3 linked regions of the Pelodiscus sinensis genome follow. The protein of the gene in region 1 interacts with the protein of each later gene in a biochemical or structural test. Links are inferred from orthologs where the notes say so. Each region holds a gene or a part of one and is shown in the gene's direction. Other genes may lie near its edges.

Evidence for each region.
Region 2: the proteins of RAP1A (region 1) and RAPGEF2 form a complex in vitro, tested with the Homo sapiens proteins (2 studies listed by BioGRID and IntAct, with this or other methods). The link is inferred for Pelodiscus sinensis from reciprocal best matches to the Homo sapiens genes RAP1A and RAPGEF2.
Region 3: of the proteins of RAP1A (region 1) and RAPGEF5, one has a biochemical effect on the other in vitro, tested with the Homo sapiens proteins (2 studies listed by BioGRID). The link is inferred for Pelodiscus sinensis from reciprocal best matches to the Homo sapiens genes RAP1A and RAPGEF5.

What each region holds. Positions count from the first base shown.
Region 1 is NC_134737.1:3,068,369-3,075,587, reverse strand, and holds the start of RAP1A (ras-related protein Rap-1A), read left to right. Parts: upstream 1-4,162; 5' UTR 4,163-4,295; intron 4,296-7,207; 5' UTR 7,208-7,219. UniProt on the Homo sapiens protein: Counteracts the mitogenic function of Ras, at least partly because it can interact with Ras GAPs and RAF in a competitive manner. Together with ITGB1BP1, regulates KRIT1 localization to microtubules and membranes.
Region 2 is NC_134715.1:59,798,364-59,805,539, forward strand, and holds the start of RAPGEF2 (rap guanine nucleotide exchange factor 2), read left to right. Parts: upstream 1-4,125; 5' UTR 4,126-4,916; coding exon 4,917-4,985; intron 4,986-7,176. UniProt on the Homo sapiens protein: Functions as a guanine nucleotide exchange factor (GEF), which activates Rap and Ras family of small GTPases by exchanging bound GDP for free GTP in a cAMP-dependent manner.
Region 3 is NC_134712.1:199,692,782-199,700,657, forward strand, and holds the start of RAPGEF5 (rap guanine nucleotide exchange factor 5), read left to right. Parts: upstream 1-4,825; 5' UTR 4,826-5,019; coding exon 5,020-5,208; intron 5,209-7,876. UniProt on the Homo sapiens protein: Guanine nucleotide exchange factor (GEF) for RAP1A, RAP2A and MRAS/M-Ras-GTP. Its association with MRAS inhibits Rap1 activation.

The sequences.
Region 1 (7,219 bases):
CACTAAAGTTGCGGCCCTTGGCGTGTGCTGTGAGTATCATTGTGGCCTGCGGGGCTTCCAAAGTTGAGTAGCTGTGATGTAGATGGTAAACAGTATAGGGCAGTGGTTCCCAATATTTTTGATACTGGGGACCAGTAAACCCATTCACAAGATTTTGGAGGACTGGTAACATTTTTTGCATATTTGCATATTCATTAAGCAAATGCTGACTATGCAAATAAATTGTTTCTGGTCCTCCCAAAGTGCCCAGTGCCAACAGGAGCAGGCCCAGTCAACTGCCCTGGGCAGTTTCCTGACTCCAACCCCAAGATATCTACTTCACACCTGTCTGGGAGTGATAAGGTTAGAAGGTCCCTCTCAGGCCTACCGGTGACTGAGCTCATATGGGCCCTGGAGGTTGGGTGAGTAGACCTGTGTCCTCTCCCCGTTACATCTGCATTCGTGGGTGAAAACGCGGGCAGCACTCTGCCCCAGGGCATGTTGCTGGCCCTACCTGTCCGGCGGGTTGTTCCACCCCCCCATCCTGGTCCCAATCCTGGCTACTTTATCGGCTGGCGCCAGCTCCCCCGGTTGCATCTGGAGCCGGGCATTCTGTGTCAGTGTGCACAGCGACTGGCCTTCTCTCTGGACCCTAGTGCCCGTTGGATCTAGCCCTGCTGCCCGGGAGCATGCCCGGCAGAGACGCCACGGTGGTGGGCTCTCTCCCAAGAATCGTGCGTGAAAATTTTTCTGAGGACCGGTATTTTTTTTTTAAGGACTGGTACTGGGCCACAGACCACACTTTGGGAAATGCTGGCATAAGGGACAAGATGGAACCTTGCAGGACCCCGTAGCACAATCGCCACGGGGTCGAATAGCAGCCCTCTAGCTCCACCATCTGAAGGCGCCCCGACAGGTAATACCAGAACCACTGCAGAACAGCACCTCCGATACCCAACTCCACCAGGCATTCCAGAAGGATACCATGGTCGATGGTACCAAAAGCCGCTGAGAGGTCCAAGAGAATCAACAGGGACACACTCCCCGATCTATCTCCCGACGTAGGTCATCTACCAGGGTGACTCAGGTGGTTTCAGTTCCAAAACCCGGCCTAAAGCCAGACTGAAATGGCTCTAAATAATCCGTTTCTTCCAAGAAACGTTGGTGTTGCAACGCCACCGCTCGCTTGAGTACCTTGCCCAAGAAGGGAATATTAGCAACTGACGATAGTTATTCAACTCATGTGGGTCCAGGGAAGACTTCTTAAGTAGAGGTTTTATCACTGCCTTGTTCAAGGAGGCAGGAACCATGCCAGATCTAAAAGACACATTAACAGTCCCCTGGACCCAGCCAGTCATCCCTTCATGGCTAGATATAATAAGACATGAAGGGCAGGGGTCGAGTGAGTATGGGGTGGATCGCACTCCTCCAAGCATCTTGTCCACATCCTCGGTCTGCAACAGCTGAAACTATTCCAAAGAAAAATGAGAGGGCAGTTCTCTCAACTCATTCTGTGCCCCACTTCCACAGCAGAGTCCAAATCAGACCGAATGTGAGCCACCTTATCCGCAAAGCGCTTCGCAAACAGATCACAGAGGGGAGCCAAGAGTTCCTCCATTTCATCATGAGTAACAGACAATAACAGGCCTCGCACCCCTCGAAACAGTTACATAGGGCGGCATTGTGTGGATGCAATACAGGAGGAAAAGTAGCTTTTCTTCGCTGCCAGCACAGCCACAGAGTAAGCTCGCAATTCAGCTCGAACCTGAAATTGATCAGACTCAGCTCTAGTTCTCCTCCAGTGGCGTTCTAACCGTCACACAGACCGTTTTGCCGCCATCAACTCCCCAGAAAACCAGGGAGCAAACTTGGCTTGACTAGCCCAAAGAAGGCACTTAGGAGCAATTATATCAACTGCCTGGGCTACCTCAATGTTCCGTATAATACTCATGAACTATGCGCACCATCATACTTTCCTGAGATATTTATTGAACCTGAGTTGTGGCATTAGAATTAAATGGCTTGCACTCCATGGTCCAAAAGAAATTGATATAATTTTTTCTGTCTGTAAATTTATCCCAGTCCAGCAGCTATGCTTGGCTTGTCAGATCAATTCCTGATCGTGTGACAAAACTCATTACAAAGTCATCATAAGTTGAAAGAACTTTGGAAGACGGCACCAGCAAATTTATATGAAAAGCAAATGAAATTACAGTTTTTCCATTTAACAGTCATGTGCACACAATGAACACCTTATATTATATATAAAAAATCCATGCTTGAAGCTGAGAAGAGTTTCTAGGTTTGAATGAGGCTGAAATAAAAATGATGCTACTTTGTGCTTGCAGAATAATTGGGCTGAAGGCCCCAGGAGACAACAGAAGAAAATATTGTTATGGTTGCACTCTCTCTGCTGAAAAACTCCTACTTGTCTTCTGCCAAATCATGGATGAAATTCACCTCTCAGCAGGGGGAAATACAAACCCTACACATGACTCAAATACGCTCCTCGATGGTGCACTGACTTTGGGCTGGCAGGACACATGGGAGTCTATTTCACACTAGCCAAAAATTAGCTCAGTGCTCAATAGATACATTCTGCTCTTCCCAGACCATTTCGAGGTGGGGTTTTATCCTGCACGGGGCTGTGCACATGAGCTTAACCCAGCAAAGAACTAACGCATAGGAATAATCCCACTAGCAAAAAAACAACATAAAAGCCCCCCAAAAAGCATATCCTGGTGTGTAGATGTTTCCTCAAAGCTGAGCGCTTGGGCAGCCGCCCAGCTGATTAGTAGGGTGCCTGCTGCTGGCAACATGTACTTCTATTGGTGGGGCACATCTACACACGCCCAGTGCACATAACAAAATTTATTCCGCACATAGATGGAAAAAATTAGAGGAAACATTGATGTGTAGTCACTGCTGTCTTCTCCTAGCCCTGCCTCCCTGGATATTTGGTTTTCCCTGTTTTAATTTAGGCCTCAACAGGAGGAGGGTGGCTGGACCTGCTTAGCGCCCCTTTATGGTGAAGGGGCCCTGGGTGGTCTATTGAGTCTGGAGATGGGGGAGAGGAGTAGAGGGAGTTTTCCACCCACATAGAACTACTGACAGCAGAACTGAGGACAGACTATACGCTCTTCGAGGCAGGAAACTTTTATTTTGTTTGTCTGTAAAGCATGAGGTAAACAAAGGGCCCTGCATTAAAAAAAAGAGAAGAAAAAAAAGTGACTTAAATTGACAGTAAAACGAAAACGAAAACCCAGCAGCCCCTTTCCCTCTGCCTGGAATCTGGTCAATTACTGAGACCAGCAGGCACCTGATAAATTTTGTAACGGGAATTACTGATAGAAAAGCCCCAGCCTGAGCCCCTCTCCACATCCTCCTCCAAACACCCCCTCATTTCACCCCCATCCCCAGACCCCTCCAACAGCCCCATATCTTTGATCTCCTAGGGACCTAGTGCCCTTCAGATGGCCCCATCTCCCAAAGGGCCAGGTCTCTTCTAGATCCCATTCATCCCTACAAAGGGCCCCAGACCCTTCCAGATTCCCCCATATCCCCTCCAGATCCAACTCGCTCTCCCCCAGAGGACCTGGTCCCTTCCAGATCCCTCCAAGATCCCCCTCCAAAAGTTCCCTCCAGATCCCTCCACAGCCCCCTCACTCCCCACGAAAGGGCCCGGTCCCTTCTAGATCCCCCTGCCCCCCTCCCAGATCCTCCTGCCCCCAAAAGGGCCCATCCCCCCAGCACCCTACCCCATCTCCCCACCCCCACAGGGCCCACCCCCCATCCCCCTGCCCCCACAGCGCCCCCCCATCCCTCCAGGGCTCACCCCCACATCCTCCTGCCCCCACAGGGCCCGCGCCCCCCACATCCCCCCATCCCCCTGCCCCACAGCGCCCCCCCATCCCCCCACCCCCACAGGGCCCGCCCCCCCACATCACCCCCATCCCCCCGCCCCCCCAGCACCCTACCCCGTCTCCCCACCCCCACAGGGCCCACCCCCCCACATCCTCCTGCCCCCACAGGGCCCGCGCCCCCCCATCTCCCCCATCCCCCTGCCCCCACAGCGCCCCCCCATCCCCCCGCCCCCACATCCCCCCACCCCCAAAGGGCCCGATCCCCCAGCACCCTACCCCATCCCCCCGCCCCCACAGCGCCGCCCCCATCCCCCGCCCGGGCCCGCCCCCTGGCTCCGCCCCGCCGCTGCCGGGCGCCGGCCGGGAGGGCGGGACGGACGCGCCGCCGCGCAGAGCCGCCGAGCCCGGAGCGCAGGCAGGGAGCCGAGCGGGCGGAAGGCGGCGGCCCGGCGGGTGAGCGGGGCCCGCGGCCGGGGGGGCGAGCTGCGGGGCCGGGCCCCCCCCGGCGGGAGCAGCGCGGTGACCCCGACACCCGCTGGCGGGGGGCCCTGAGCGGGGGGGGCTCGGATTTGCCCCTCCCCGCTGGGGGGCGGTGGGTACCCGGGTAGCGCAGGGGCGGAGCCTCCCTCCCCCAGGGCGGGGGCAGGTGCTGCCCCAGGAAGCGGGGCAGGGGCGCGTGGGGGGCAGGGGATGAGGGGCTGTGCCCCCCCCCCAGGGGCATCGGCGCGCCCCTCCCCCCTCCCCCCCCGCGCCCACGGGGCTCTGGTGGGCTCCTGGGGCGGGCACCGGGCACGGGCTGGTCGGCCCCGAACGGGGGGGGGGGCGCCAGGCCTGACCCACGGCGGGCAGCGCCCCGGCAGCCAGCCCTGGGGGGGCTGCCACCCGCCGCTCTCCTAGCCCCGGCTCCTGCATGCGAGCCCTGGAAATGGGGAAGTGAGACCAGGAATTCCCCCGCCTGCCTCAGAGCTCCAGAGGGGGGGACCGCCAGGCGCCAGGGATGCTGCTGCACTTCTCTCTTCGGGGGAGCAGGGGGAAGGGAGCCTGGCAGCCTGGCACCTCCACCTGGTGCGCTCAGTGTTGACCTAGAAGAAACTCCCCAGATTGTGTAGTTAGGCCTGAGCGAACCTCTCTCCAGTTCTCTTACTGCTTCATGCGGTCCGGGGGTCCAGGGTGTTTCTCGGTCCTGGACCCAGAACTGAAGGAGCTAGGGAATGCAAATTGAAGGGCATCGCCGCTGCCGAAGCTATTGTAAGGGGACATAAATGGGCTGTTGTGGTTCTCATCCCTTGTCCTTGAAGATAACTTGGGATTAGTATAAAAAAATAACGCATGTGAGACAAGGCTTGGGGGGGGGGGGTCTGTGTGGAAAAGATCTATTTCAGGTGGACGACACTTGGATTTGGGTGTCGGTGTTATATTCCGAGAGTTTATTTTCCTGTTCCCACTGCCCTGAATTTGAAGAGGAAGTTTGGGAAGAGACACTGAGAGGTTTAAAGTTTTGTATAGCTCTAAAAGAAAAACATCCAACCTAACAACTGTTACCTGAATGATCAAGGCATTCAAAGCAACAAGCTAGTTTTAGATTGCTATTTTAGGCAGTGGGTGAAGGGGGGTGAGGAAGCATCTTCGTTCATTTGCATAGTCAATTCTTTATAGTGCTTCGCATACTCAAACATTTTATTACATTGTCACATTTCTGGAGGTGTCACCATAGGGGGAATATTCTTTCTCCGCTTTCTGCCAGTTTTCTATTTAAAAACTGAGGCTGAACAAGTTTCTTTCTAATTTGTAAGTTCTATCCCATCAAGTCTGGGTAGCATATGACATCAAAGGATGTATTTCAAGGGCCACTGATAGCTAAATTCTGACTTGTAGGAATCTTTCAGGATTTTTTTTCTTGGCTACGTTTGGCATGTACATGGAATATTTTAGTATATACTTCTGCTCAGTACTGAAACTTTTAACCTTCACTTGATTTATTAAGCATGGGGTGTGTTACATAATCTTCATCACTCGAAAACTTGTAAAATAGGGAGTTGACTACCACAAGAATTACCAATAGGATAGTCTTTCCTGAAGTATCCAGTAGAAAAATGATTATATGCCTCCAGATACCATCAAATTTACTTTTCCTCTCTCCACAGAACCACAAAAATTATTCATGTTGAAAGGCACACTGTTTAGCTCCAAATTTAGTGGATATTTTTGTGTTTAGGAAATTTGACAGAACCAATGGCTATAGTAAACTGTTTTATTTTTAAATCTTTCTTTGCAGTGTTTTTAACCAAGCATTGCAATCTTGTGTTAGTGTCTGAGAACCAGAAATTGAAACTGACTAGATACAAAACTGACATCTGTTTTCATTGGTCTAGTCCTAAATTGGAATTAAGTGCAAACAGTAAACAAACACCACAGGTAATGAAGCCAGAAGTAAAAAAATCCAAATTTTTATTTTCAAAATGCAAATGTGGTACCAAAACTTCTTGTTTGTGTTTTTTGTTAATTACATTGTTTTTAACTATAGTGGGAGGTTGTAATTTTGGCTTTGTGTATTGTTTGCAGTCTAAAATGTGGCACCCAATGTGTTTGACCTTTAGCAGCATCAAATAATCTAACTCATTGTGTTCCTTGAAGGAGGCCAGGGTTGAATTGTGAATTGCCCTATGTTCATCTGAAATATTTTGAAACATTTCTTCTCCTTTGTTAGTGGGCTAGCACTTGATTCTTTATCCAGTTTGTCATGTCAGACTCCTTAAGAGACAGTAAGGACTGAAGTCACTAAGAAACAGATATTAATAATCAAACACTCTGGACCTTAATGTTGTTTCTGTGAGTTTAAGTGAAAGAGGAATTTAAAGCAGAACTCTTTGGATTCTGCAGTATCTGTAACTTTTGAAATTTATACACAGCTAGTGGGGTGCACCATCTCCCAAATATGAAATACTTTCTGATTATTCTGACATCATTATCGTGTTGCTATAGTGACTTAATTACACTGGGAATGCCGTGTTCCCATCCTGTTGCTATGGAAAAGATCAGGGTTATAAATAAAAATATTTGAGGCTATTCATAGCTGTGACAGATAGAAACACCATCATTTTAATATGACATGATTGCCAAGAGTGATGGTGTATTTTAACAAAACTTTTCTTGTGCTGAGTTACAAACTTGAAATGCCAGTTCCCTAGTTTCTAACAGCTTGTCCTTTTGACGTCCCCCTCCATTGCGTTTGATAGCAGGGGTTATGAAACACTAGCTGTAGAAATCAAAAAGAGAATGTATGTATAGTTTTTAAGGTGGAGCTGAGGCAGGAAGTACTGTGCTTTCACATACTGAGCCTAAAAATAATCTATTTTTGTATGCAGTATTTTCATCAA
Region 2 (7,176 bases), on another chromosome or scaffold:
TGTATGTAATTTCATACAAGATACATGAAAATGTAGTTCTACATTGACAACCTATTCTGACAGAAATTGTGCATGAGTTCCATGCTGGACTGACTTAAAAAAACAAAACAATCTCTGTAGTTTTAAGTATTTTGTACCTATTTTGCCAGTGAGCATTGTTCGTATTTGAGACTCATATGACTTAACAATCTAACAACATCCATTTCTTTAAATATCTACCTTTAAGCTTTATGACAAGTGCAAAATCTTAAGCGGAACGAAATAGATTCCATGCCATCATGTGTTGAAAGGATAATGTCTGTTTGCATTAGGCCCCATTTATTTTTACCTAGTAAATCCAAATTAAGAAATAATTAGTGTTGGGAGGCGGGGGTGAGGGGGAGGGGAGAGACTGTTTCACTGAAACCAAATACCATTGTGACTCTCAAATACTATAGTAATAGACACCATAAAATAGATCAATCACCAAATTAAAATTCTTAGAGGGACTCAGTCAATATATAATCTTAAAATTAAGAATAACAGTTGTATGGTAAAATAGAGTTGGTAGCTTTCTCTTGATTTGCGGACGTGCATATCATTTCACTTGTAAATTAAACTAGTTTTTCTGCTTGTAACATACAGGATTTAGTGCCCTCAAATGCTTCAAAAACAGATCAATGCTTCATATGCTTGTGTGGCACTTACACTATGGCTTAGTCTACACTGCAGGGGTTTTGCGCAAGAAGCCTTTCATGCAAGAGTTTTTGCGCAAAAACTTCTTGTGGAAAATCACATCCGGACCTCAAAGCGCATTGCAAAAGTGATGTGCTTTTGTGCAAGAGAGCATCCACACTGCATAGACACTCTTGCACAAGAAAGCTCTGAAGGCCATTCAGAGAATGGTCATCAGAGCACCTGTGCTTTTTCCGATAGGCGTCCATGCCCGCCTTTATGTGCAAGAGCTGTAGTGCAAAAAGGAGTTATTCCTTGTGGGGAGAGGAATAACTCTACCGCCAAAAGCCCTCTGTTCTGTCAATTTTCTTGCGCAAAAATGCACTTGAGGTGTGGACGCTCTGCCGGTGTTTGCGCAAACCTTGTAGTATAAACATAGCCTGTGTGTGTATTTCAAGAGAATCACAGGCACCCTGGCTTGGTGATAGGTTTCTCAGAAGAGAAACTGGCACTTTCACACAGTTGCAGCTTCCCTTATTAATTGGAAGGAATAATACATTCTTTCTGGTTTTTTTGAGTGGAGGGAGGGGGAGAGCTGAGGCACATTTAAAACTGATATTTTTAGGGAATAGGGAATTGATTTCGGTCCTGTCAATTTAAACAACATCCTGTCTTTTCAAACAACTAACTCCTGTGCATTGAAAATCAAGATGATGAGATATGGAACTTCCTCCATTTACTCCAACACTTTACACAGAATTCTCTGCACTGGCCACACAAGCATTTCATTAAGATCAGACCCTGCTAATTTGTATACTTTTGCAGCTTTTTCTATTGAGGAAGACCCAGTGCTTTTTTTGTGATGGTACTGCCTGGTACGCAGTACTGGCACCTCCAGATGCAGTACCAGCACTTCCAGTCAGAGCTCAACAACTTTTCTTCTGGAGTGCTGGCACTTTTTTTTTAAAACAAAAAAAGCACTGTGAAGACCTATATGGAGAAACTGACTAGATTTAGTAAATTTCACACAGCTACTCCACAGACTCCTTAAGCAGTCAGCTAGCTCTTCCTAAACTAGCCTGTAAATTACTAGTTCACTTAAGCCTTCAAATTTAGGTTTTGTTTAAAAAAATATTTTTCATATGCTTAAATTTCAATAAATTAGAAATAAACATCCTGTAATGTTTGCACCTTAAAAGATGTACTCTTGTGCTATTATTTGAAAAGCTATCATTTAAAATTTTTTAAACCTTTATAATGTTAACAGTGTTTACATAACATAGCACGGTAGTATTTGGAAAAGCAAATCCACTGAACAGTTCTACATTGCTGAAAGTATTATGTATAATTAACAAGTATTATTTGTTAAGCAGCTGTGGTATGCTCAATGTTATGGGAAACACAAATAACGTTGGTCTTTGCTGCAAGGAACTCATAGTTTAAATGAAGTCAGGCTCCTATATGAGAAAATTCGCTAGGAGACTCAAAAAAAGTAAATTAAAACATCTTGTTTTTCTTTCTCTGTTCTCTTATATAACATGACACAAACGGGACATTTGGCTGATGTTGATTAGCATAGAGACAAGTGACAAGAGTGGACTTGCCAAAGAAATTACAACCAAATTTTAAAACATATTTAGGCACCAAATTCCAGTTGAAATCAATCAGGAGTCAAGTGCTTAAAAGTCCCCTCTGAGCCTAGGTTTTTGCTGGTCAGCATTCACAGAGCCTCCTGAAGTCTTGATGCCAACCCTTTACTCCCATCACCCTGCCCCAGATCTAGCTAATAAATAGTCCAGTGTTCTAGCTAAAGCTGAAACCTAGGCAGGGGAATGCCTATTCTGCCAATAGGGGACAATCCTTTAGGTGTGCTCTGTGCATGCCTAAAACTGGTTAGACCTGAAGCAAACAGCCGGGACACAGACCACAAATACTGCACACCACCTATCCAAACCGCCAATAGCTTGGGTAAATGTAGTGCAAGTGTAAGACACAGCACAAGGCAGATTTGGTTGCTAGAGCATAAGCTACTTAAGCGGCTGACTGAGCTTTGGAGGTTTATTATAGATGAAGATTCCAAGCAGAGGAAGGTGCCTACCTCTGGCTTGTCAGCCAGGACACTGTTTAAACACCTAAACATGGCATTTCATTCCTGGATAGTTTAGGAAATTCCCTAGTCAACTTGTTTAGCTTCTGAAGATCCCTTCCTTACATGAACAACTCTTGTATGGGGAGCCATGCTGGTAGTCGGGGGCTGAGAATTCCATTTGTTAGGTGCAGCAACACTTAAATACCACTGAAGACATGGGGTAAAGTTATTGTGGAGTGTGGAAAGCCATGAGTTGGTTTAGATTATATTTGGCTCCAGTTGAAGACATTTGTCCATTTGTTAGCAGAGTTTGCAGTTGGGGGATCTTATTAGATCCCTAACTGCTTTTAGATGATGAAGGCAGCAGCAGCATGTGCCTCTTATTAGAAGGTAAAACCTTTCCCTTTGGACCTGGCTAATATAACCCATGCAGTAAATCTTGTTATACAATAGCTTGGCAATATACTGGAAGAGTTCCTGCACTGGTGTGTGAATAGTCACAGATTGAAACCTCTGGCAGTTCTCTTGAATAAGTAATCAAAATTCTTTCATCCTTAAGCTTTTAATCATTAGGATGCCTTTCTGAGAGATGTAATGTATTCTCTATCAGTATAAGTCTTTACATCAGGACTGGATGTCTTTCTAAACAATATTCTGTCCTCAGAAAGTATGGCTTGATGCAGCTATTTGTGGATGAAATTCTAAATCCTGTTAAGTGTAAAACAGATTATCATAATAGCCTCTCCCAGGTTTGACAATCTATCATTTTGCCAGGGCTAGAACAGATTATTGCAATGTCTTCCACATCCAGACACAGTTTAAATCCATCTGTCTATGAACTGAGTATGGTATAGAGTCTGGCAACCTGTCTTGTGCACTGCCCTGTCTGCAATTGCTGCACTCACAGCTCCCATTTGGCTGGGAACTGGAGCAGCTTGTGGCAGGATCACTATGACGGGACTGTCCCAACCCTTAACTCCCCTCCCCCCCCTGCTCTCTACACCGCCAATCCCCTGCTCTGAATCCCTCCTGCTCCCCAATCTCGTGCACTGACTCCTGCCCCTCCAAGTCCCAACCAACTGCCCTACTCCCGCACCCTCTGTACATTGTAGGCTTTCCTTTGCTACTCCCCAAAATGACTTAAAAAGGCTATTAGGAAAGAAACTGTATTAATAACACAAAGTCAGATTTATTGCTTTAATCACATATTTTACGTTCACTAGCAACAAAATGCTCCCCTTCAGTTTTCACTTCTTGCAGGGGGTCTGCTCTAGCCTATATGGGAGTACCTGGAAGACATTTACAGCACAAACCCCTGTTCTCACCCCATGGGAACTGGACTCCTCTCCTTGGGAGAGTGGTGGCTGCCGGTAGGGGCACTGGGCTTTGAAGCCTGCCCCCATATGGGTACCTAGCGAGGCTACCCAGCCTCCTGGTCTGAGAGTGGTAGCAGAGCTGGGTGGGTCAGGGGCTGGCAGGCCCGCCCGGGGCCCGAGAGCGGTGCGCTGACCCGAACCCCGACACCCCTCTTGGGATCAAACAGCAGGCGACGCTCCGCGGGGGAAGAGGTGTCGGCCGGGCCGCGGGGCGGGAGCTGGGCGCGGCCCCTCCCCGAGCGCTGCAGCCGCCGCTGGCCGCTCCCCGCCGGTGCGGCGGGCTCCTCACCATGGTTGCAGCAGCACAAAGCCGCCAGCGCCGGAGGCCGCTCCCCCCGTGACAGCCCGGCCCCGCCCGCGCCGCGCCCGCCAGCTCCCCGCGCCCGCCGGGAGCGCAGCCCCGCAGCCCGGATGGGAGGCGCCGGCGGGGATGCAGCCGCAGCAGCCGCGGAGCGGGACGGCGGAGCCCAGTAGAGCCGGAGTCGGGAGCCGCCGCCAGGCGCCAGGACCCCGGGAGCTCCCGGGCCGCCCCTCCCGCTGCCGGCCGGGCTTGCCCGGGCGGCGGCGCTGCTGAGTCCCGGCGCTTCACCCCCAGCGGCCGCGAACCCGGAGCCGCGAGAGGCCGCGCCCGCCAGCCGGGCAGCGCCAGGGAGCGGAGCCCGCCGGGACCAGCCCGGCTCCCCCGCCGCGCGCCTCGGGCCGGGGCTCGGCGCCGCTTCCCAGCCCAGCCCGCACCCAGCAGGGGCCGCCGCGGGGCCGGGCAGGCGGCGGCGGGGCCGGGGCAGAGACGGAACGAGATGGCGTCGTACGTGGATAACAGCTTCCGCCAGGCGGTGATGAAGAACCCGACGGAGAGGAGCCCCCAGGTACCCCCCTGTGTCCCTCTAACGGCGCCAGAGGGGCCCGTGACCCTCCCTTCGCTCTCCCCCGTAGTGTCCCCTTAGGGAGCCCTCCCCGCCCTCGAGATCTGCTGGGGACTTACCCCTTGCAGCGCCCTCCTCTTAGCTCTCGGCCCCCCGCTGCCCCGGGGAGCTCCTACAGCCTTTGTTGTTTCTTTTCCCTTTCAAGAGGAGCCTAACCTCGGGCACCGACCCCCATTTTTCTTCCTGGATAGGAGCCCCAGGGTACAGGCAGGCATCACCTGATCTGTGCCCCCGGGGTGCTGCACACGGGGCAACAGGTACCTATTTCCTTATGCCCTTCCACGTTGCATAGTGCAGTTTTTTCATCTTCCACCCACTCCCACATAATGAATCCTCCCTTCCCCAACATTCCCCGTAGCTACTGCTTGTTTATCTCTTGTTTGTCTCACACACACATCATAAACATTTCCTCTGCTTCGAGTACTCCTTGATCTGTACATACGTATGTCAGCTAATCTGTTTTCAGACCTCTCTAATCCCCTTTCCCACTCACGGGATGGAGGAACTCCTTATTCATTCACAGCCAGCAGTAGTTTTAAGATTTCTCTTCCCACTCCTCTCTCGCAGTACTGTTGTTACTTTTGGGGGGCTCACATTCCCTTAGTCGGTCTGTTCATTCCCTTTATCTTTGTCTAAAATTGGGCAGAGAACCCCTGTGTGGTCAGACAGCAACAGAGGAGAAGGGGGGAGGACATCTCTTTGACTGTGAGTTGCATAAATCCTGAAAGCTGACTCTATGGGAAACCCAGATTTAGTAACTGCTGCTGTCTTTCCTCTCTGTTTTGCATAGTGTGTTTTAAAAGAAGATACTATGGTGTTAATAGAAACTTTGAACACTATAGTTTGTATAGGAGTGCAACATACTCACTGTTACACAAACTTAACTCACCCAAAATATTGATGTATAGGATGCTAGTTCATGGAAAGAGAAGAAATGTTAAACTGAGAGCATGTGTCTATTCTTAATATATAACAAGTAGTTTAATTCTGGAATTGAATTCACTGCGTACATATATAGCGCATACAACATTACTGGCCCATCCGTTTATAAGAGAGGTGAATGTTGTATTTTTGGCAAATCTTTGCTTCCTTAAAATAGGGAGAAATTCTTGCAGAAATAGAAATGCTTTCATAGTAACATGGGAGAAGGTTTTTTTAAATGCTGTATTTGAATCTGTCTTCACTTGGGGGCCCACTTATATGTGGTATGTGTGGGATAAATAACAATTTTACTTATATACTCCTGTAGGATTTTTAGCGCATGGGGCTTTGTAAACATTAGAGACAGAAGGGAGGAAAATGTGTAAAATTATTTTGACTTGTTTTTTGAGTCTCCGTAAGGTGAGTGAATTCTTACTGCTTTGGAGTGGTGACTGGATGTGCTACTGCTGCCAACTGTCTAAAGACAAATAAGCTTTATGCTGATCCCTGAGTCAAGCTGTAGTTCAATAGCTAATGATTCAAGGAGTTACTTTGCTCATTAGTTGCAGTGCCATCTGTCCTGTTTTCTAAAGATTTGTCCTATTTCTCTAAGAACTTAGTATATGCTGATCTTAGAGAGGGGTTTTATTTTTTATTACCATGGTTACTGATGATTTTGCCAGATTTTTGATTGGCTGTTGACATTTTAAATTGTGGTTGAGGAAAGAACTTTGACTTTTGGGGCAGCATCCAGAATTCCTTCTTTAGATAAGTCATTGTGGATTCAGTTTTACATCCTTGAGCTTGTGACAACGTCAGATCACGTTGAAAAGTATGGTGTAAATGTGTTAGAAAAGATAGTCCTGATTTTATGAAAATACATTATTCTTTTCTACATCTCATTCTAGAACAAATTCCTTTTATTATAGTGAAGTTAAAGTTGTGTTTGTGTGTCCTTGCTTGACCTTTTCAAATGTTTATTATAGTACTTGCCTTGAATCTTGGCACCAGTATGAAAGCCTACAGGCATCAGAGTAGCACAACTAGTGACTGAAAAGTTAGATTTGGAAACCGAATGCTGTTATTTCAGAAGGATACTACTTGTTAATATGTAGTAAGATCTCTTTTTCTGGGAGAAGCTTAAATTCCAGTAATGGGAGTCAAAGAGATTTGGGAGAACATTATAAAAAGACTGTCAGTTGGTCAGCAGCAG
Region 3 (7,876 bases), on another chromosome or scaffold:
TGTACTTTGGGATGTCTTAGTCTGAAATGTTAAAGAACTAATAGCACAGAGCGTTTTCTGGTCCCACTCATGATGGGCGGGAGGCAATCTGGCCAGTCATTTGCTGCTTAGTTCAGATGGTGTGACAAAGAAGTATGAAGAGAGAGAACATATTTGCAATTATTTCAAAGGCATATGAGACAATAAGATAACTTGAAACTATAAAGATGAAACAAAATGTGTGAATAACCCCAACTCAATTAGGATGGATGGCATTTTATAACCTCATTTTCAGCTTAGTCCCTAAGGGATATTTTCTGTATATATTACAAATCCACAATTCTCTCTAGGCAGTGCTGTGACTAGATAATTTTCAAAAGCACAACAAATAAAATAATTTAAAAAAATGGAATCCCACCCAATGATCAGATGAGGAAAAAGTGGCCATCTCAAAAGACTTAGAACAACAGTCATAGAGGCCATGTCTCCACTGGCTGTGCTGGAGATCACTCTTCTGGCATTTGATTTAGCTGGCCTAGTAAGGACCCGCTAAATTGAATGCTGAGGCTGCCCCTAGTTGGTGCTGGTACTCCTACTCCTCATGAGAAGTAAGGGAAGCAGCTAGAAGCATTTACTCCCATCAACCTCCCACTGTGGAGACAGCACCAAGCTTCGTTTGAGGTACAGGCCAGCCTCACTATAAGTCCAAGATACATTGGAAAAACTTGGACTTATAGTGAAACAACTTAAAGCGGGGAATTTTTTTCCCCATGTCTGACTTCCATTTGCACAAATTGGGGTGGGTTTTTTTTTGCATGACTTAAGAGGGGGGAATGGGAGGACTTATAATGCATCAGTTCCTGCAAGCGTCAACAACTTTAGTGCGGAATGGATATGTACCAGGGCGACTTATAGCAGGGATGCCCTGTATATTGACTCTCGTGACATTATTTAGATACCTGGACTTGCATCCTTTAAGCAACCTGCTGGGTCTAGTATAGACAGGGACAGAGAACATTGTGGTTTTGTTTCAGTGTTAAGACATATATATTGAGGCTGTGTCTAGACTGGCATGGTTTTCCAGAAATGCTTTTAACGGAACAGAGAGTCTAGATTGGCACGGACGCTTTTCCGCAAAAGCACTTCTTGCAGAAAAGCGTCCGTGCCAATCTAAACACGCTTTTCCGCAGAAAAGCCCCGATTGCCATTTTCACGATCGGGGCTTTTTTGCTCAAAACAAATCTGAACTGTCTATACTGGCCCTTTTGCGCAAAAGGGACTTTTGCCTGAACGGGAGCAGAATAGTATTTCCGCAAGAAGCACTGATTCCTTACAGTAGGAAGTCAGTGCTTTTGCGGAAATTCAAGTGGCCAGTGTAGACAGCTGGCAAGTTTTTCCAGAAAAGCAGCTGATTTTTCCAGGAAAAACTGGCCAGTCTAGACAAAGCCTGAGATTTTCAAAGCAAACCCTTGACTTTCATGGAAGACGTATTGCTAACCCCCTCCTCCCCCACACACCCTACCGGACGTCTTTTAAAGTCTTAGTAATAAAGGATACAAAAAGGCATTGGCACGGTTTTGAGGCTAGAAGATGAAGTCTCAGGGGTCAGATGACCTCATTCAAAGAATTCCGGAGATGACAGAAGACCTGAGGAAAGATAGAGGCAGTTGATAAGAGAGCTTAAAGTGGAGTAACAGTTAACTTTTGAAAAAATGGTATCTCCAGGCTACTATTCTCCTTTGGGCCCAGGACCAGGAGTCTTGTAGTATAGTGCAGGGCACCTCTTTCTCAGACAACCAAAAATGCGTTCTGGGAAGAAGACCAGCATATGATCTGTCAGTTCCCTCATAAGAAAGACTATACTACACTGCCACACTTCTAAGTTTTATAGTTATACCGATCTAATTGACAACATAGACAGTAGCACCATGTCAATAAGAGGACTTCTCCTGTTGGCATAGCTATTGCCTTTCATTGAGGAGGAGTACCTATGTGACTGGAAGACGCTCTGCTGTCGGCATAGGTAGTGTCTTCGCTAACCACTACAGACAAACCCGAGTAAATGGCAAGAAGAGAATTACTTCATTGCCTGACTTCTCCAGATCAGGGAGAATGAGATGGAGCTCTGGTCCAGGAGGCATGCCTGGGAGAATGAAAGGGATATGGTAGTGCAGACTTTGTGTTCTTGAAAGTCTTCCTTTATTTTGAGAGGATTTACTGTCAGGGTTGGCAGAGCTGGGTGCAAGCTATTTAAGGGGCATCTAGGAGAAGCTGGCTTAGGGACATCAGCTGTTATAGGCATGTTCAGTGGCTCCCCATATCCCAATGACTATTTCTGTTACTGAAACCTCTGTACAATAATTCTTCATTTTTATTGAAATGAATGCCAAAGAGATAAGTTAATTAAAAATTTATTGATTATCCTAACAGCATTAGAAAGCCAGAACATTTTAAGTCTCAAATGAATGTTTATTATGCTTTGTCAGGAAGAGTCTAATTCAAGATAATTGTGTTTTGCAATTTTTCTAATTACATAACTAATTAAATACACTTGGTCATGAAGCATCTTGGACTATATTATGGCATTTCTTTTGATTGCGATAAAGAGTTAAAGAAAACAAACACAATTCAAAATGGCCAAAACCTCTAATACTCCCTGATTCTAAATATGCAAAACTGCAGTTGACTTTAATGGGGTCAAAACCTCATTTTGTGCAGCTTTCAAGAATATGGGAGCTGGCCATTAGAGGACAGGACAATACATATACTGATCCTTTACAGGGATGTGAACTAAGGTTCCATATTCCTTAGGTAAGGCACAATATTCCCTCTTAATTCCCATTGCAAAGTTAGAGATGGAGAAGACCTATTTGGTCATCCAGATCCAGTCCATCACCCTGCCAGTGCAGTATTATTTTCCAATGTATATTTTCCAATCACTATTTTCCATTAGTTTGTCTGCCTAGTTTTAAATGTTCCAAGAAACACTTTACTTAGGAGATGCTTCACATATTCAAATGTTCCTGTTGACATTTTTTTCTGAGCTTTGACCTACATTTACCTTTTCTTAATTTAACCTTGTTCCTTCTAGTTATTGCTCTGATTGTATTATTATTCAAATGACCACAATGCACTTTGAAAAGTGTAAATGAATTATTTAATGTAACACACAGAAGTATAACTGGAAGTAATAGCAGTAACTACAATAGTTGTAATTATAGTAATGCCTGAATACTTGGACAGAGCACACTATTACCCAGAATAAAAACAAGAGATCCACAATCCTTTTGAGCGTAGTTCACACTGATATGCGGAGAGGTGGATCTATGGTAATCCTGCAGCAGATAGTCCCAGCATCAGTCCCTAACAGTGACGGGCACTAAGAATGCAGCAGGAGGGTAGGACAGAGTACACTTCTGAAGAAAACAATAGAACACACAAGCCAGCACACTTTTATTCCTCAGATCTGTTTGTTTGTTGTAGGGCAGCATTGCCTGAAACAAACTGGAAGCTGGTATATAAGCAGCGCCATGTTATCTCACTTTGCACTCTATCTAGACAAAAAGGATAAAGGGCATGAGAAAGCAATTGAGCAATTCTTTTCCCACTTCTGTCAGTGATAAGTGCTTCAATTTCTTGGACCCTGACTCTTTTACAGGATACAAGTCAATGATTTACTCACATAAGGGAAATTTTACTCATGTTTGTAAAACATGGATAATACCTCCCCCTCCAAGGTTCTATGAGGCTTAATTCATTAATGTTTCCTAAGTGTGAGATTTGGGGATTGAAAACCACTGTAGTAGAGCAAAATACTCAGACCTCATTTCATTTGGATTCCTTACTTCCTAAAGCCCTGTCTGTACTAGGATTATATTGCTAAACTTTCCTACCATTATCACCAAGTTTCAGCTCCATGAGTGGGTGTAATAGGGATGAGAGAGCACAAAGACTTGGAGCTCCTGCCAGAGTTTTAAGCATCCAAGCCTGCTCAAATGAAGAGGATGTGACTAGACCTGTATGAAAAATTGATTTTTCAGTTTGGTAACCAAATTTTTTTTTAAAAGGTATTTGTTAGGTTGACATAAAATGAAAATGCCTCAGAGGTAGCCTTGTTAGTCTGTAACTTTAAAAACAACCAGTAGTCCTGTGGCACCTTAGAGACCAAGACAAAACATAGAGAGAATAATGAGCTTTTTTACCCACAAAAGCTCATGGAGTCTCTCTATTATGTTTTCAGTCTCTAAGGTGTCACAGAACTGCTCGTTTTTAAAATTAAAATGTTTAACCAACACAAAATGTTACAAAAAGAATTGCATTGGGGGCCAACCAAAATGGTTTGATTTACCTGACACAAAACGTGTGTTTAGTTTTCAAGGCCGTTGAGGGGTTTTGGTTTTTTTTTTTTTAGCTGTTTCCATAAAAAGGAAGTCACATTCGAGAGCAAAAGTCATTTGGAAAGGGAACGCCATCAAGTGTCATTTTGAGAAGGTCGCCACAGACCATCGAGGCTCTGCTTTACTATGACGTTTTCTTCTTCGCATGGAAGCTACAACTTGGTCAACCTCCAGCTGCATTTTTCAGTGTGTGTGTGCGGGCGCGGGAGGGTTGTGTCTGAAAACTTTTTGCCCAGCTCTTCTCCCGGGGCTACCGCTGGCCCCCTGACGCCGCTAGCATTGCCCCCAGCGGCACTGTAGCCGCGCTGGGAGGTGGGCGGATGCTAGAAGCCGAGCAGTTAACAGCACTTTATTACTCCCCGCCCTACCACTCACCTGCGCTCGATCACCGCCGCAGCCACTGGGCGGGCAGGGAGCCGCGTCCCCAGGGGAGGCGCAGGGCGAGAGGGAAAAGGTGGAGAGAGCCTGGCGGCGCGAGCATTTCCTGCACCTGCGGGATGACTCAGCGGGCCCCCGGTCCCCAGCCCCGCGCGCAGCGCAGAGGTGCGCGCCGCCGCTGCCGCCAGCGGGCAGGGCAGCGCCCGGAGCCGTGAGTGGCAGCGGGGCGCGCGCGGCGAGCCAGCCGGGGCCGCTGCGCTGCGGGATGGCCGTGGGCTCCGGCAGGATGCAGCCCCCCTGCGAGAGCGCGGAGCCCGCCCTGAGCCTCAGGCCGAGCGCCAGGCAGCACCGCGAGCCGCCGCCAGGGCAGCTGCGGCAGAAGCTGAGGGAGCTGCCGGCCCGCCTGCGGAGCGGGCTCACGCTGCGGAGGAAAGACCCCGCCGCCGGGGGCCGGGTGAGTGACCCTCTGGCCCGGCCCTTCCCCCTCCGCTGCAGGCTGACAGCTCAGGGGCACCAGCGGCCTCCGCCCCCCCGCACTCCGCCCTGCCGCTTTTCTCCCCCCGTGCGGCTTGACTCCCTTGGGCCCGGGGGCGGGGCTCTCCGGAGTCGCCGCTGCAGGTGTCCTGCACCTGTCCAGGGAGCGCGGCGCCTTCTCCCTTCCCGCAAGAGCCGGCCCTGGGAGCTACCGGCAAACGGGCTCTGCTGCATGGGAGAGTGGTAGGGCCTGGCAGGGTCAAATGCTGCCCCAGGTTGGCGCGTCTTGTGTGGTCTGCCCCAGTCTGGCGTGAGGGGGGCTTTTTAGCTGGCACGTTAGTCTCTACTCTCGCCCTCAAGCAGTGCTTCGGGGATGCGCAGCAAACAGGAATCGCTCTGGAAGTTACCCCCTGGGCTGCCTGGGTACTAGCTTCTCTGCCCTTCAAGCTGCCCGCATGTGTCCTGTTGGGGCCAAAGAGGCCCTTTGAAATTTCTTTAGAAAAAGGAGTGGGGAGAGGCCCACCCCCCAACGCGAATGGGCTAGTAGTGGTTAGAGTGGTTATGGAAGATTCACTTTCAAGCCCCTGATGTGAATCAGTGCTTTGGACACCAGCCTGTAGTGACTATTTTTGGCCAGGGTGTCTCTCCTGGAGCAGAAATTCCATCCTGGACCTGCAAAATCTTTCACAATGGAAGTTTTGTTGAAATGGGCACATTCCTGTGAGTTTTGGCTTCAGCCAATCAACGTGTTCTCAAAACATATTTTGTGGGAAAATTTCTAGACAGTTCTAGATATGTCACTTCTGTGGCACCATCAGAAGATCTCAAAGCACAATAAAGAATCTTCACTGTCCTAATTTAATCATTATTAATCTGCAAGATAAGGATTTATTCCCTTTTTTGGGATTAGGACATCAAAGTATAGAAAGGTTAAAATTATTTTTCGAGGTTCACATAGCGCGTATGTGACAGAGCCAGAAATGTAACCAAAAATCCCCAGTCATCCTCTGACAACTAGACTATACTTTTCTCAGTGCCAGTGGCACAACAGGTGCTAATGCAAGTCTGTTTTTAGCACCTTGGATACAAGCTAATACAGATGGATGTGGAGTGCCCCACATGTGCAGAGGTTTGCATAGATCAGTGTGGAGGAGTGGGCGGGTTCTTGCTACATTTCAAAGTGAAGGTGCTCTTATTGACTAATCAAATAGTTGATGGGAATTCTGTTGACTATTTGATTAATTTTAATATCCCTAGTCAGGAGCCAGATTGCTGTCATCTTTGATTCACCTTGCAGTTTTTCTCTAGCTCTGTCTTAGTAGAAGAGAATGGGTGTTGTGGATTTCTGAGCATCCAAGACCCTACCACCCCCACAGACCTCTGGGAACTGCAAGGATTTTTGCTGCAAGAAGAGCTGCTGCTGGCATATATGGTGGAAGGCTCCAGTAGGAGCTATGTGGCCCATACAATGTAGCAGTAGAGCTCACTGTTGTATCATCTGTCTGGAACGCTCTGATCTGAGTATTGCTGAGGAGCAAGATAATGGCATTCTTGCATTCCCCCAGGACTCTATGAATATGCCTACATTGCTTGTAGGAGTGAACCTCCCAGCTTGCATATGCAGACTCTAGCTAGTGCATCTTGAGCTAGTGTGCTAAAAATAGCAGTGTGAATGTTGCTGCTAGGATGATAGATCAAGATGTTAAGCCTACCTGGTCCCAAGGTTTGAGCTTGAGTGGCTTTCTAAGTCTTTGCTGTTGCTACAGTGTCCACAGTGCAAGCTTGCACCCTGCTAGCATGATTTTGACTAACCAGACACAGATCTGTGTAGGGCAGACATACCTATGAAGCTCCACCCCTAAGCAGCTTCAGTGGTGTGACACTGAAAGGAGGTGTGTGACTTCTGTATGTGAATCCATAGGGAACAATCCAGCTTTATCAGTGTATTACTACTACTTTGTTCTTAGGGTATGTCTACAGCAGTTGGGGGCTAGCCTCTGAGCCTGGGGAGTCGGATATGTCATCTCTGCTCAAGCTGATTGTTCAAAAAATAACAGGATGGCCACGGCGACACAGGTAGCAGTTAGGATTAGCCACTTGAGTTTATACCTGAGGTTGGGTGGGCTTGCACTCCAATGGCTATCCCTAAGCATGCCATGCCACTACACATGCCCAAACTGCTGTTTTCAGTATGCTTTCTCGAACAAACTGGTCACCTCTCTCTGCTTGCAGTGGTTAGTACAGTAGTTCTCAAACTTTTTGGATCACAGCTCTCCCCGCTCAATGCAATCCTTTCCACAGACCACCTGCCAACCACCCATGATGAGAAAATGGGTGCAGGAGGTAGTGGGGATGTGAGGTCTGGGAAGGATGGAGGGTGCAGGAAGGAATGCAAGGTCTGGGAGGAGGGTGGGTACAGGAGTGGGCTGAGGGATAGGGGTTGGGCATGAGGATGAGGTGCTTACCTGGCTCCTTGCCCCCTCACTGCTCCCATTGGCCAGGATTCTGGCCAATGGAAGCAGTGGAGAAAGCCACTGGGTGAGCAGTTTCCTGTGCTGCCAATCCTCCAGCTTACGGAGCTGCTTCCTGCCCCTGCAAGCCGGATCCAAGCCATGAGTCTCAGAGCTCCCTGCCTCCCTCAGCAGGAA